Linked DNA regions of Astyanax mexicanus. The protein of the gene in region 2 binds, or shares a complex with, the protein of the main gene of each other region. Links are inferred from orthologs where the notes say so. Each region holds a gene or a part of one and is shown on either strand. Other genes may lie near its edges.

The links. Proteins that work in one complex are often made in the same cells at the same time.
Region 1: the proteins of klb (region 2) and fgf19 are in contact, whole or in part, in a crystal structure (PDB 6NFJ), measured with the Homo sapiens proteins. The link is inferred for Astyanax mexicanus from reciprocal best matches to the Homo sapiens genes KLB and FGF19. Residues at the interface, in NP_783864.1 of Homo sapiens: Phe379, Lys380, Val392, Leu394, Trp419, Phe420, Thr421, Asp422, Val425, Thr431, Tyr434, Met435, Asn438, Tyr643, Glu693, Arg696, His743, Asn824, Phe826, Met832, Gln848, Phe849, Leu850, Gln851, Ile853, Leu862, Phe931, Phe942; in NP_005108.1 of Homo sapiens: Leu192, Thr194, Asp195, Ser196, Met197, Pro199, Phe200, Leu202, Val203, Thr204, Ser211, Pro212, Ser213.

What each region holds. Positions count from the first base shown.
Region 1 is NC_064423.1:33,837,411-33,844,626, forward strand, and holds the start of fgf19 (fibroblast growth factor 19), read left to right. Parts: upstream 1-4,180; 5' UTR 4,181-4,331; coding exon 4,332-4,545; intron 4,546-6,731; coding exon 6,732-6,835; intron 6,836-7,216. UniProt on the Homo sapiens protein: Involved in the suppression of bile acid biosynthesis through down-regulation of CYP7A1 expression, following positive regulation of the JNK and ERK1/2 cascades. Stimulates glucose uptake in adipocytes. Activity requires the presence of KLB and FGFR4.
Region 2 is NC_064426.1:1,309,828-1,317,504, forward strand, and holds the start of klb (beta-klotho), read right to left. Parts: upstream 3,045-7,677; 5' UTR 2,848-3,044; coding exon 2,095-2,847; intron 507-2,094; coding exon 2-506; intron 1-1.

The DNA of each region.
Region 1 (7,216 bases), on a different chromosome or scaffold from region 2:
AATCATTATCAAAATAACTGGCTGACAATTCAAAGTTAATATTAGAGTACTTTAAAATGCATTACTGGAATTATTGTAATACAGCTCTGAAAAACAATTGAGACCAAACCACTTAAAATGTATGAGTTTCTTTGATTTTACCAAATTAGAAACCCCTGGAATATAATCAAGAGAAAGATAGATGATCAAAAGCCATCAAACCAAGTTGAACTGCTTAATTTTTTTTGCACCAGGAGTGGGATAAAGTTATCAAAAAGCAGTGTGTAAGACTGGTGGAGGGGAACATGCCAAGATGCATGAAAACTGTGATTAAAAACCAGGGTTATTCCACCAAATAGTGATTTCTAAACTCTTACAACTTTGTGAATATGAACTTGTTTTCTTTGCATTATTTGAGGTCTGAAAGCTCTGCATCTTTTTTGTTATTTGAGACATTTCTCATTTGCTGCAAATAAATGCTCTAAATTACAATATTTTTATTTGGAATTTGAGAGAAATGTTGTCCGTAGTTTATAAAATAAAACAAAAAAGTTCATTTTACTCAAATACATACCTATAAATAGCAAAATCAGAGAAACTGATTCAGAACCAGACAAAAAAATTACTTACAAAAATGATTTTAATTATTTTAGACAGACGTTGCGTGTATGGATGCATTTGCTCATCTGTGTCAGCAGCAATGGGTGCAAAGTAGCAGAACGTATTGATTAGAGGGAGTGTCCATAAACATTTGGACATATAGTGTCATTATCTGCAGTTTTGTGTTTTCCCAGCTGTAACACACCTGAATCAACTCAGGAAGTGGTTGATAATTATCTAATGCTGTGAGTCGTGTGTTAGAGCAGGTGCATCACTAAACTCTGTACTGTAGAGGGACGGGGCCTAATGACCACTGTTACAACCAGGACTGCCCCTCAGACACAGCGCAGGCCTTCTACTGCTGTCTACTGCTGTCATAGAGTGCCATCTACTGGCAGCTGGGAGACATGAGGGACTGTTTAACCACTTTATTCTGTTTTGTTCAGTAGCAGGTAGAGTATAGTGTATATGGGGTTAACAGGTGTCTGTGGATGAGAGGTACTACGTTGACTAAATAAATGAGAGCAAATATTGATAATAAAAACTTAAACCATGTTAATGGTTTACTTCGTAATCCAGGAATACTCTGCATGAGAGTGAGTATTCCTAAACAGAGAGGAATTTCATGAATGAGGAATATTTATTTATAAACAAGCTACTATGTACCCTTGTGCAAACAGAACACGGTGCACGACTATTCCCATTAGGCTCGACAATGAAAAAAAAAAGACATAATGTGCAAAGTAAACAGCAGTGTGGAAAGAAAGCTGTGTTATCTGTGCCGGATGACCCAGTCGCACAAGGCCTGCTGGGTAGATCTGTGCCAGATTTACTCCGGATCTACACTGGTTTGTACTTTAGCCCTGCAGAGGCCTGCTGTAATTTTCCCCGTCGCCACACAACTAGAAAACAACTATGTTTATATTTCTCATTATGTGTTGTTGTTTTTTTTGCTTTTTATAACATATATATTAATTGTAAGTATATCTAAATGCAAATTGTAAATACACAATTGTAGATGCAAAAATGTCAAATTGACCTGTGCAAACTGAACACTTTTTTCAGTGAATTTACTTATAATAATTTTTAATGCATTCACATACTTAAACAAAGAACAAGTATACACACATAAACAAATATGTTATATATATATGTTATAAACAGACAAAAAGAAGTTAAATATTTAGACATAGACAAATAGCAAGGAATTAAATACAGTGACATGCTACATGTCATGGAGCAAGAACTATTATTGTGTTCCATGACTTTTGCCCTCTCCAATATAAGCTAAAATAAAACTGACCTGTGGGATACGTGTGTGGGTCTCCTCCAAGGTGAAGTAAAAATACTTTGTTACATTACTTAAGTAAAAATGTTGGTTTTCTATACTTTACTGTCGTAATATTTTTCAGATATAATCACCCCACACACACTCACACTCCAGCAAGAACATAGCAGACGTATGTAGCCTAGTATGAAGATGATCCTGCAGAGACTCCAGACAAACTCCAGTCCAACTAAGCTTCTTTAATATATTTACATTCTACTAAAATACATTCACTTTCAATGAGCATATATGCAAACATATATGAAACAGGGAGGAGCCTAGTGCATCCCAAATTGTCAACATCAACATTTTAATATAACATTATAGTCATAATGGCTTTTAGAAAAAATGTGTTTTGGGGAGAGGGGGTAGTGCACTATAGGACTCTGTGGGCGTGTCCTAAGCTTTTGCCCTAATGGTATTTTTTTCCTGACATTACTTTTCCTTTTATGCTTTAAGTAGTTTTAAAACCAGTACTTTTACACTTTTACTTAAAGGGTAAAAAGCTTGAGGTGATACTTCAACTTCTACAGACGTATTTTAAACCCTAGTACCTATACTGCTATAATGATCAATTTACAGAAAGTTGTTCCATGACTTTTCAGTCTAGTTTTATTCTAGATTTAGACTAGCAGGAGTCTAGCAGGAGTGGAAATGCTAACTGGCTGAATTTAAAGTGGATCCTGTGATAAACTACCACAGAACTTCATACCAACTGTGAAGCATGGTGGTGGTAATGTGGCAGTCGTAAGACAAGCTATCTTTTGACCATTGAGAAAGTTATGAATTCTATATGATTAAAAGTGATCTTTCTGTGACAAAACAAGAAATTAAAATCTTAAACCTTATTTAATGTGGTATTACTGAAATGAACATTCATGGTTTTGGTTGAAGACACGTCAAATTTCATACAGTTCTTCAAGGAAGAGTGGAACAAAATTCCTCTGTGGTGTGGTAATTAACAATTTTTTTTTGCAGTTATTGAATATGGCAGCTAAGGAGAATGGGATTATCTTAAATAAATACAGGAAATAGCTCCTATCTATTTACTGATGGACAGTAAATACTGATGATCTTACATTCAGGAATTAAGATGTTTTTAAATGCATTTTCTTGGCACTGCAGATAGAAGAATACACTGTATGAACAAATGTATTGTGACATCCGTTCATTAGACAGACAGACAGACAGACAGATAGATAGATAGATAGATAGATAGATAGATAGATAGATAGATAGATAGATAGATAGATAGATAGATAGATAGATAGATAGATAGATAGATAGATAGTTACATATTTATACTAAGAAATAAAGAGATGCTACAAACATGACAGACAGGAAAGGTTTGATTTAAAACATTGATAAACTAATCTACACAGTACCAGTCAAGTTTGGACACGCTGTCAGTGGTTTTTTTATATCTTCTGCATTGTACAAAAATACTAAGTTTCCCAAACTATGAAGATAAATATATTACTTAGTAAACAAAAAAGTGTTAAATAAACCATACTATTTTATATTTTAGATTCTTTAAAATAACACATTTTGCTTAAATTACAGCTTTTGAGGTAGGGTCACCTGGAATGGCTTTCAGTTAACAGCTGTGCTGAACTCGTCAAGCGTTAATTACTTGAATTTCTTAAAAGCATCAGCTGTGTTGTGAAGAAGTATATTTGGTCAACTAAGTAAAGAAAAAAATGTCAATCAATCTGAAACAATAAGAGCTTTTAAAGTATCCCCAAGTGCAGTCGTAAAATCATCCAAAATGTTCTGATGAAACTGGCTCTCATCAGAACCGGCCCAGAAAAGGAAAAGCGAGAGTTACCTCTCTGTTGCAGCACAGGATAAGTTCATCAGCCTCAGAAACAGCAAGTTAACAGCACTGCAGATAAGAGCACCTAAATGCTTCACATTTTGTATTTTGTTATTTTTAACACTTCTAAAATTACTACATGATTCTTTTTGTGTTCATTTATAAATAAAGGAAAATAAACAAACAAAACAAAACAAAAAACATCGAATGAAAAGACATGTGTCCCAAGTTTTGACTGATACTGTCTCTCACAGCGCTGCAGACGGAGCACGCGAGCTGCAGAGCGGGCAGGTGCAGCGCGCGCGCCAGTAAAGGTGGAGTTTGAGCGCTGCGCAGTGTCGGGTGGGCTGGTCTGGGGGTCTGCAGTAGCGCATCCCGCCATCTGTTGGACATCTAGAGGGTGTGTTGTGGTCGGGTTCGCAGAACCGCCAAAAGGGGGAAAAGGCTTATCGATCCAGCTGATAAGAGCAGGGTTTAAAAAGGCCACATGCCACAGACTGCGCCAAAACAGCGCAACGTGCGGCACAAGCGCGCGACACGGACACTCACACGCGCATACACTCAAACACGCGGACACGGGGACAGGGGGACACGGGGAAGACCACCGACATGCTGGTGCTGATACTGATCGCCGTGTGCGGAATTAGCGCTCTGTTCAGCGCTCGCGCCGCCGGGATGCCGCTCTCGGACGCGGGGCCGCACGTGTCGGGGGACTGGGGGGAACCGGTCCGACTGCGGCATCTGTTCGCAGCCAGACCCGGACTGCACCTGCAGATCAGCGCAGACGGCAAGATAGGAGGATCCCACCTGCAGAGCATCCAGAGTGAGTATCACACCTGAGCTACAGAACCCTCAGCACAGGCAGGCAGGTAAAATAACATAAAGGATTTTTCTGAGTAAGAGGCCATCAAGGGCCACAATATTCATATAGGGGTCAACATTATTTCACCAGTCAACTGAACTGCTAACTGAAGCTTCCTATGAATCTTATCAGACACTTAATTTCTACATTTTCACCATTTTTGACCAACTAAATAATGAGGGCACTACAATGAACTACAGAAAAGCAGCTATACTGAAAAAGAGGATTGTACCTTGAACCAACTTAATATATTAGTTTTTCTAAATTTATATTTATGATTTAGTTAGAATCTAACATTATTAATTAAAATTAATAAAAATATTATTAAAATATTACACAAGGACCAAAAAAAAATGAATTCTCAGGCTTAATATTAAGTGTTTCACTTTTTACTTTGGAAAAAAAACTTATTTTCTATTACAAGAATATATTGTCTTTACCTTTGAAAAAACTAATTAAATCACTTAATTTATTTTTTTGATTCAGTACAAACTACAAACTAAATTTTCTAATTATACCTTCATATATTTTCTTTGAGGTTTAAATAAATTAAAAAAGCCTCAATACTCCAATCAAATCTTTGACCAAGCCCAACCATCAACGGAAGGTGGATGATTTTAAAGTCTTTTAGTATTTCATTTTTCACACAAAGACAGTGGAATTGTGTGATAATGAAAGTATAAGCACAGTAGTGCTCAGCAACAAAGAAAATCGCAGCTTGCTCTTACAGCCTACAACACTGAGACCAAGCAGTCAACTATCACATAAAGCTTACCTCGGGAGTTAAGAGAAGGGAGTCTGAGGAATACAATGCCACACTGATGGTACTTCCACAATCTGGCAAACATTTTAGTAGAAATGTAGAATAGAGTACTATTTGATTCAGTGTATTCTTGTCATATTAAAGTGAAAAAATGCACTGTAATATGGATTAGGAAACACTTGCAAAATTACGTGCACAGTTTATTTATCTAGCTACTTTATCTGGCAGAAATGCTGATACCTAGCTACCTCTGTCTCTGAATTTATACTTCTAACAATTACAACCAACCAGTGAAATAACTAAATAAACAAGAATTTGTCATTTAAAACATTAACTATCATATAACTGCCAGACAAAATCATTTAAATGTTTATTCTAACTTATGTTTATTAAACTTCTAAACCTGCATTTTTTATTTAAAAACGCATATAGCATTTTTAGTTTGTAATAAGCACAAAATTGCTTAACTATGAGTTGCCATTAAAATGTTACTTGAATGATTTCAAATACAGAAATCTGTATGTGTTTTTTTGGTGCATGGAGTGCAAGGGGGCAGAAAACACGAATCTGAAATTATTAAATAAGTATTATTATTATTATTATTATTATAATCAACAAAATAACACACTATTTTTGCAGAGGTCTGAAACATGCATTAAAAATCATACATTTATACCATATACAAGAAAACAGTACACATATATTCTCTGATGTATCGTTCAAAATCTTTATTTTAACCAGTTCACAATAACACTCCTGCTAATACCTATTTTCAAAAGGTCTTAGATGGCCTAACTGTTTAATAATTGGTAAAATCAGATAAAAGTTTGCCGTTAAACTAATTAACATGCGAAGCAAATTATTTTATTTGAGTTGAGTTGGAAGGACTACTGCCTCTATCACCTGGTCTAAACAATTGGTCAATAAGCTGGGTTATCCTGATTGATAGCTTGGTGAGGATGGACATGCTGACACCAGAGAAACCATCAAACCCAAACTAAATCATACCCTATGCTGGCTAAAATATTATCTTTAATCTAGGCCTGGGAGGTTATTTGAATTAATTGAATTACTGTTTTAATGTGATTTTTAAAATAAGATAATGGTCATTTGTAATGAAATGTAATAGAAACAATTTTATGAAAAAAGTTATGTAAGAACTAAAATACTCACAATAGTAACTGTCAGTCATATAATTGAAGAATATCAAGATTATTTGTTTTTAAAACATTACCCAGCCGTATTCCAACCATTTATACTATTATGACTAGCATGACTAGCTAGTATGTTCTAGTTTACGTGTTTAGGATCCACATTTGGCCCATTAGATTTTAGTAGATATTTTAATGACGTGATTCTAATTGAAACTAAACTCTTATTACAGGTCTGGTGGAGATTCGCAGTGTAGACACTGGCTATGTGGTTATCAAAGGAGTGGCCAGCTCCCGCTATCTCTGCATGGAGGCAAATGGGAAGCTGTATGGATCGGTGAGTAGCCCACCTATTATTAATAAACACAGTTCACACCTGCCAGTATTAATGCATCTGTAAACTGGCAGAATATTTATTATGCTAATTTACTGTAGGCTGCTGGGTCGTAACTCTAAACGCTAAACCCAGACTCAAGTAAAAGTACCGATGATAAAGTGACAGAGTGAGTCAAGTAACATTCTATACCAAATATATACACAAAACTTGGCAGAGGAATAAAAGTCATAAGCCAAAATACAGAAGAATTCATTAAGCATGATTTAGGCATGATTTCAGGAGTTTTTAGTAGTTAATACAGTGGTTCTTGATAAATTAATGACACCTGTTTTTTTATCTGGATAAATGGTTCTTCACAGTTTATACATTTGAAAGGGTTCT
Region 2 (7,677 bases):
CCTTGAAACACCTGGTTGATGAAGGTTTTCATATTGTACACAGCGAGCGTGTCCTCCACCCCTTCAGACGCATCACTGAACCAACTGCCCTCCGCCACCAGAACCCGCGGATCTCCATACTCCTTCTGAACCCACACCAGAACCTTCCTGAGGTCCAGCGTCATGTTCTGACCAAAGCGAGACCCCTGACTGCGGACCCCCCGCGCCGTGTCCGGTCCAAACGCCAGCGAGAAGAAGTCAGCGGTTCCTCGAACCCACAGCTTCTCCTCCAGAGTGAACTCTGGGATCAGCTCCTGGACCCTCATGGACCTCGGATAGTCCCCAGAACCGTGGATGGGTTCTGCAAACCAGCCAATCACCGCCTCCATGGACTTCTGGCACAGCTCTACATTGGCTGCCGTGGCTGTGAAGGGTTTCACCGAGTGGGAGCCGAGTGTGATGGATATCTGACCGTTCTGCTGGTCACGGAACTGCTTATCGTATATGTGCCACGCTGCAGCGTGAGCCTGGAGATATGAGAAATATAAAATCATTAATTAATAAACCAAGGATGAAAAATAAATCAACAATATTAAAGAATTTTTTAATAAAAATAAAAGCTGAACAAAAATATTGACTTGATCCAAACAAATTGCCGCAAGCTTATATGACTGACAGTAAATACAGATTTTTAATATTCACGAATTCCTAGTTGCTAACTTTAATTTAAAAGTTTGAGTTGCCTCAAAAAACTCAAAGATCTAATGCAGTAAGTTTTATTGAAATTTTAAGTTTTCTCAAACTTTTCACTTTTACATTGTATTGTACAGTATACTAAACTATTTATATGATTTCAAAAGAAAATATAGACAATTCATTTTTTAATGTGTCCATATTGTCTACATTAAAACTTTTAAATTATTTTACTGATGCTTAAATTCACTGATGCCTTTGCAATACCTATTAAGTTTGAGCTCTGAAATCTGGGTGTAATTTTAAAGTAATTGTATTTGTTTGTTTCAATATTTAAAAATATAATACATTTCTATTTTGTCTTTTTATATAAACATTGCAAAATATATATTTTTTCTTAAGTATTATTATAATTATTATAATGTTTTCTACACTGGGACCCAGTGGTAAACAGAGTTTCAGGTGCAGTATACGGTGTTTAATCTTATGATAAGAAGGCTGGTTGGTTGTTTGGGTGCTTTGTGACCGAGATTGCCCTTTAGGTTTGTTATTATGCAATAAATCACTAAAATTTCACTATTTCCTGTGATAACATGGAAAATGATTAAGCTGTCTGCAGCTGTTTGCATTTCATAGGAAATCTGTTAAGTTCCTATTGTTTACAAAATAAACAAAAGTTTACAAATGTATATCTATAGTTATATTTATACAGAGTGAAACTTGAACATTTATTACATTGCAACACTCATTAAGTAATCTTATATTAAATATTACAAAACCGTATTACAAAAACATATTATAAGGTGCTGTTGTGCACAGCTCTGGACAAAATGAAGAGAGCTCTTCAGTTTCTGAATCAGTTTCTCTGATTTTGCTATTTATAGGTTTATGTTTGAGTAAAATGAACATTGTTGTTTTATTATATAAACTACAGACAACATTTCTCCCAAATTCCAAATAAAAATATTCTCATTTAGAGCATTTATTTACAGAAAATGAGAAATGGCTGAAATAACAAAAAAAGATGCAGAGCTTTCAGACCTCAAATAATGCAAAGAAAACAAGTTCATATTCATAAAGAACTGTATATTATATATTATATATGTGTTAAATCTTGGGGAAAAATTGTATTGTTAGACAGAGTTGCCTGTGACACAAAAGACACATTATATTGATGTTATATTGATGTTCACCGACAAAAAAAAAAAAAAAACACACTGAGGACTCAGGTAGGCGCCCATAAAGTGCTGTTCAAAGTTCACCAGCAGAGAATGGGCCTGGAGCATTGTTATCTCAACAAGGCAGGTCAATGAACACCATTAGAAAAGTTAACCACCATTATTCTCAACAGGCTCCTTCAAAAACACTTCACCAAAAAAATGAACCCCAGCGTCACCTCTGACCTCCCGGCCCCGCACTCACCCTGATGAGGTTATGGGCTACAATGAAGCGGTCGGCTGGGTCGCCGATCACCCCCGGCGCGTGAGCCCCTGTCCCGTAACCGAGAAGCGCAACCAGAGCTGGGTTGTGCATCGTGATCCAGTATCGCACAGCTCGTCCAAACGTGGTGAAGCAGAATGCGGCGTAGTCTGCAAACTTCTCGACCATCTTCCGGTTCTTCCAGCCGCCAAACTGCTCCTGCAGGCTTTGGGGCGAATCCCAGTGGAACAGGGTGACTACCGGCTCAAGACCTTGCACCCTTATCCTGTGGATCAACCGGCGATAGTGTTGCACTGCCTTAGAGTTTGCCTTTCCAGTAGCATCACCGTCTGGAAAGAGTCTCGGCCAAGACAGCGAAAAAGCGTAGAAGTTGACGCCGAGGTACTGCGCCGCCTCTACGTCCTGCTCCCAGAGGGCGTAGCTGTCGCTGGCAGTGTCCGCTCGAGTGTTAGACCCCATTCCTTGGATACGATTACGAGTAAAATTGTCCCAAACTGACGCTCCTTTCCCGTCCAGATCCCAAGAACCTTCCGTCTGGAACGCAGACGTCCCAACGCCCCATAGAAACCCATTTGGAAAAGTCCCCGACAGAAAGTCGCTGTGGTTCAACGGCTTTAACCAGACACTCTTCCCGTCTCCCGACAAACTCTCAACTCCATCCCATAGACAAGCTGTCAGGAGAAGGAGGGAAAGATGAAAAGAGAAGAACGAAGGACAAGACAAGAAGTGGGTCATCTTTAACTCGGTCACTCGATCAGACGTAGAGCGAAGGAATAAAAAGCTGGTTCAGAACCTGGATTCATCCTATAAACCAGGCGAGGCAGCAAAGAGAGGGACTACAGATTCTCTATTCCATACAGAAGACAAGACATCTATCTGATTTCTTCACCTGTCGCAACTAACTGACTCCCTCTCTCTCTCTCTCTCTCTCTCTCTCTCTTCCTCCCTCCCTCCCTCGCTCACTCACTTACAAACACATTCAGCTACTCAGAATGGAGAGTGATGTCTGGAAGGAGGACCCCTGATCAATGATTAACCTGAACTCTTATCCTCCTCACCACTCCACCACTATCTCTCCCTCTCTTCCCTTGCCCCTCCCATCCGTCTGAGAGAGTGACAGAGCAAGAGAGAGAAAGTGAGAGAGAGATATGTTAATCATTCTTTAAAGACCTAATTGATTGTTAAACATACAGCTCTGGAAAAGAAAAATTAGAGACCACTTAAAAATGATGAGTTTCTTTGATTTTACCAAATTAAAAACCTCTGGAATATAATCAAGAGGAAGATGGATGATCACAAACCATCAAACCACCAAACTGAACTGCTTGAATTTTTACACCAGGAGTAAAGCTGCATAAAGTTATCCAAAAGCAGTGTGTAAGACTGGTGGAGGAGAACATGATGCAGAGATGCATGAAAAAAATAACTGTGATTAAAAACCAGAACCAGGATTATTGCACCAAATATTGATCAATTTCTTATTTTCTGTAAATAAATGCTCTAAATGAGAATATTTTTGTTTATAATTTGGGAGAAATGTTGTCTGTAGTTTATAGAATAAAACAACAATTTTACTCAAATATAAACCTGTAAATAGCAAAATCTGAGAAACTGATTCAGAAACTGAAGGGGTCTTTTATTTTCTTGTTCAGAGCTGTATATATATATATATATATATATATATATTAGTAGTAGTTATTAGCTTGATTTATGGAAATGCAGTTAATGGCTTATTGACAGGTAAAAAGACAGATAAAGTCTGGAGATAAAGTGGAGCTTTTTTACTGACATGGGCTTCTCACACTTTATACAATCTGTAAAGCATGGTGGTGGTGGTAGAGTGGCTTGGTTTGGGGTTGCTTTCAGGACCTGGATGTTTCAATGTCTGTGTGGGAATTATGAATTATTGTCTGTATCGGATAAACAAATGTTAGATCAGTTTGTAGAAGAGTCAGGCATAATTTTTCCTTCCTGTTTATCTGTTTATTTGTGCTCCAGTGGATGGAGTGTGGTGAACCACATGAGCAGCGTGGTGTAAAAACTAGGTCACACACTGTTTAATATTTATTTTAATTTTATTTACATAAGACGAGTTTCATTTCCCACTCAAACAGAAATGAAGATAATGGTTCAGACGGGTCTGAGAGGAGGAGGCTGAGTGTGATCTGACCCTGATCTCACGCTGGTTTCCAGTGTTTTATTTAAAAGTCGCTGATCAAATGAAAGTTTTTGTTCTGCTTTAGAATCCTTAGAAACCACCGAGCACGGTAAACATTTACCAAACATCTGAGTGAGAGCAGAGTATGGGTTTTATCCTGTTTACTGAATGATAACTGAGCCACATCACAATGCGGGACTGTTTAACCCGTGCTAATAACACAAACGGAACAGAAATGATAAGAGTATCAGAAAAACCCATTTACACATACGAGTCTATTGTTATAGTAATATTAACATAATGTGTCTTTGTGTCGAAGCATTAACTGATTTTAAATACAGTTGCAATAAAAAATATGTAAATCCTTTGGGATTAAACTTGGATTTCTGCATAAATTGGTCATTAAATGCAGACCTACGTTCAAGAATTGTTGACTTAAATCATGAAGCTGGAAAGGGTTACAAAAGTATCTCTAAAAGCCTTGATGTTCACGTGTCCACGGCAAGACAGACAGGCGCTCTACAAATGGAGAAATTTCAGCACTGTTGCCGCTACTTTCCCTAGGCGTGGTAAAGTCCTGTAAAGATGACTGTAAGAGCACAGTGCAGAATCATCAATGAGGTGAAGAAGAATCCTATAGTGTCAGCTAAAGATTTACATCCTGTGTCTCCGCCACTGTTGGTCACCTTTTTTGTTTGTAGCTCCGCCCCCTTGTTACACATCTCACGTGTTTCCACTTTCCTGTCCTTGTCTGGCTGATTCTACCTCATAAAGCTGACTGAGATAATTCAGCAGAGATGTGTAAAACTGATGTACTTTGAAGAATGTAAAATATAAAACATATTCTGATTTGTTTAACACCTTTTTGTTTACTAAATAATAATTCCATGTGTTTTTCTACATCATTTAGATGTGTTTAGTATTAATCTACAATGCAGAACTTTTTTTTTTAAATAATGGAAAAACACTGAATTTAAGATGCAAAAATTGTCAACAAAAAATAAAAAGTGAAATTAAAAAAATTATAAATAAATAAAAAGTTAACACAGTATTCTAATATACATATTCATGTACATATTTAAACACTATTGTCATACAATAAAAAACAAGTATCTCCAAAACAGCAACTCAGGAAAGAGAAAAAAATATCTTAACTTTCAATGGAAGTCAATGTAAAAAGAGTTAATTTCAATTCATTCATCGAGAAGTCCTGAAACAGTCTGAGGGACAGTCTGTGTGTCAAAATTATGTGGTAAACTAAAAATTAAAAAAATGGAGATACTGGATTACATGGATTACACTGTTGCGTTCTGCTCATCCAACCATCAGTCTGATCCAATTAAGCTCCGCCCCTGATGCTCAGAAACACTGTTAGGTCCAGATTCTTCAGTAACGGTGTTCAATAATCACCTGGCCCTGATAAATCGGATCAGGCTGGGTTTTATTGGATCAGCGTTGGTTATTTGTTGAATCAGAGCTGGAGGTTTATGAAGGTGTTTTGGTTGAGTTTCTGCTCCAGACGTCAGAGGAAGGAGGACTCAGCGCTTCAGGAAATTGCCGTCAGCAGGAACAAAAGGAAATGTGATTTAGAAGCTGTTATCTCTCCTTTTATCTCCTTTATCTGTTATTCTGTTAAAGCTTTGATCATCAAAAACAGACGGCACACTGCCACACTGCCCTCAGCACCTACACTTCACCTGAGACTGAAAAATATATATTTACTGGCTCAACTTTAGTCAGCGTCATTTTACTTTGGGTCAGTTAAGTTGTGAATATATCGAATTTTAAGCTCATTCAACTTAACAGAGTCAAAGCTAGATGAGAACTTGAATCGGTTAAACTGATTCAACTTAAGTTGAGTTTTGTTCACACAACAGTACTTTATTTAATTGTTTAATCTGTATATAGATCTAGGAACACAGAATAAAGGTAACTGCACAAACATAGGTGCTGTATATTACTGAACCATTGACTTGACTTAATTGAAAAACATTAATATGAAAAGAAATATTAGTAACTATTTTTTAGTGTTATTTTAAGCTTGCAAAGGACAATCAACCCTCTAAACTGACTAAAAACTCAGTTTTTAAATTGATTTAACTCTTAAGGATGTACAGTATGTACTTAAAAGTTGTATGTTGAATAGACTTTTATGCTAAATGATAATGGATTTATTAATGCCCTGAATATTATAGAGAGTAGATGGTGATATTAATCATAGTGTGTACAATAAACACCCATACATATTACCCAAGCTCCTCTAGTGTATCTGTCCTGCGGGATTACCTGTACACTCTAAAAAGTGATTTTGATTGTGATTTTAGTCAGGAGAACTAATATTATCAAATTGAATAAACTTTACCGGCTGGAATAACTCAATAAAATGAGTTCAGAGAACTTTAACCTGAAAATTAAAAAATGCTTTTATTGAGGCAATGAAATAAATGCGATTTCAACCAACTTTTAGTTTACTAAACATGTCAATGCTCTTTCTACAGTATTGGAACATATAGCTTTCCTATAGGCTCCTTGTACCATATATTTGCATTTTGGGTGTGGCCTCTCTCTTACTTACCATTTTTGTGTTTGTGTCTGGTGTCCAAAGCTACATTATCCTAGCCGCGCATTGGTGTAATATAAGTATTGTAGGCTGTAAGAGCAAGTTACCATTGCTTTTGCTGCCAAAGGTGACTGGTAGATTGTTACGGCTGATGTGTTTCTCTGGTGGAGCTGGTGATCAGTGAGTGGAGCTGGTGATCAGTGAGTGTGGGATGGTGATCAGTGAGTGGAGCTGGTGATCAGTGAGTGTGGGATGGTGATCAGTGAGTGTGGGATGGTGATCAGTGAGTGGAGCTGGTGATCAGTGAGTGGAGCTGGTGATCAGTGAGTGTGGAGCTGGTGATCAGTGAGTGTGGAGCTGGTGATCAGTGAGTGGAGCTGGTGATCAGTGAGTGCGGAGCTGGTGATCAGTGAGTGTGGAGCTGGAGATCAGTGAGTGTGGAGCTGGTGATCAGTGAGTGGAGCTGGTGATCAGTGAGTGGAGCTGGTGATCAGTGAGTGTGGAGCTGGTGATCAGTGAGTGGAGCTGGTGATCAGTGAGTGTGGGATGGTGATCAGTGAGTGGAGCTGGTGATCAGTGAGTGGAGCTGGTGATCAGTGAGTGTGGAGCTGGTGATCAGTGAGTGTGGAGCTGGTGATCAGTGAGTGGAGCTGGTGATCAGTGAGTGGAGCTGGTGATCAGTGAGTGTGGAGCTGGAGATCAGTGAGTGTGGAGCTGGTGATCAGTGAGTGGAGCTGGTGATCAGTGAGTGGAGCTGGTGATCAGTGAGTGTGGAGCTGGTGATCAGTGAGTGGAGCTGGTGATCAGTGAGTGTGGGATGGTGATCAGTGAGTGGAGCTGGTGATCA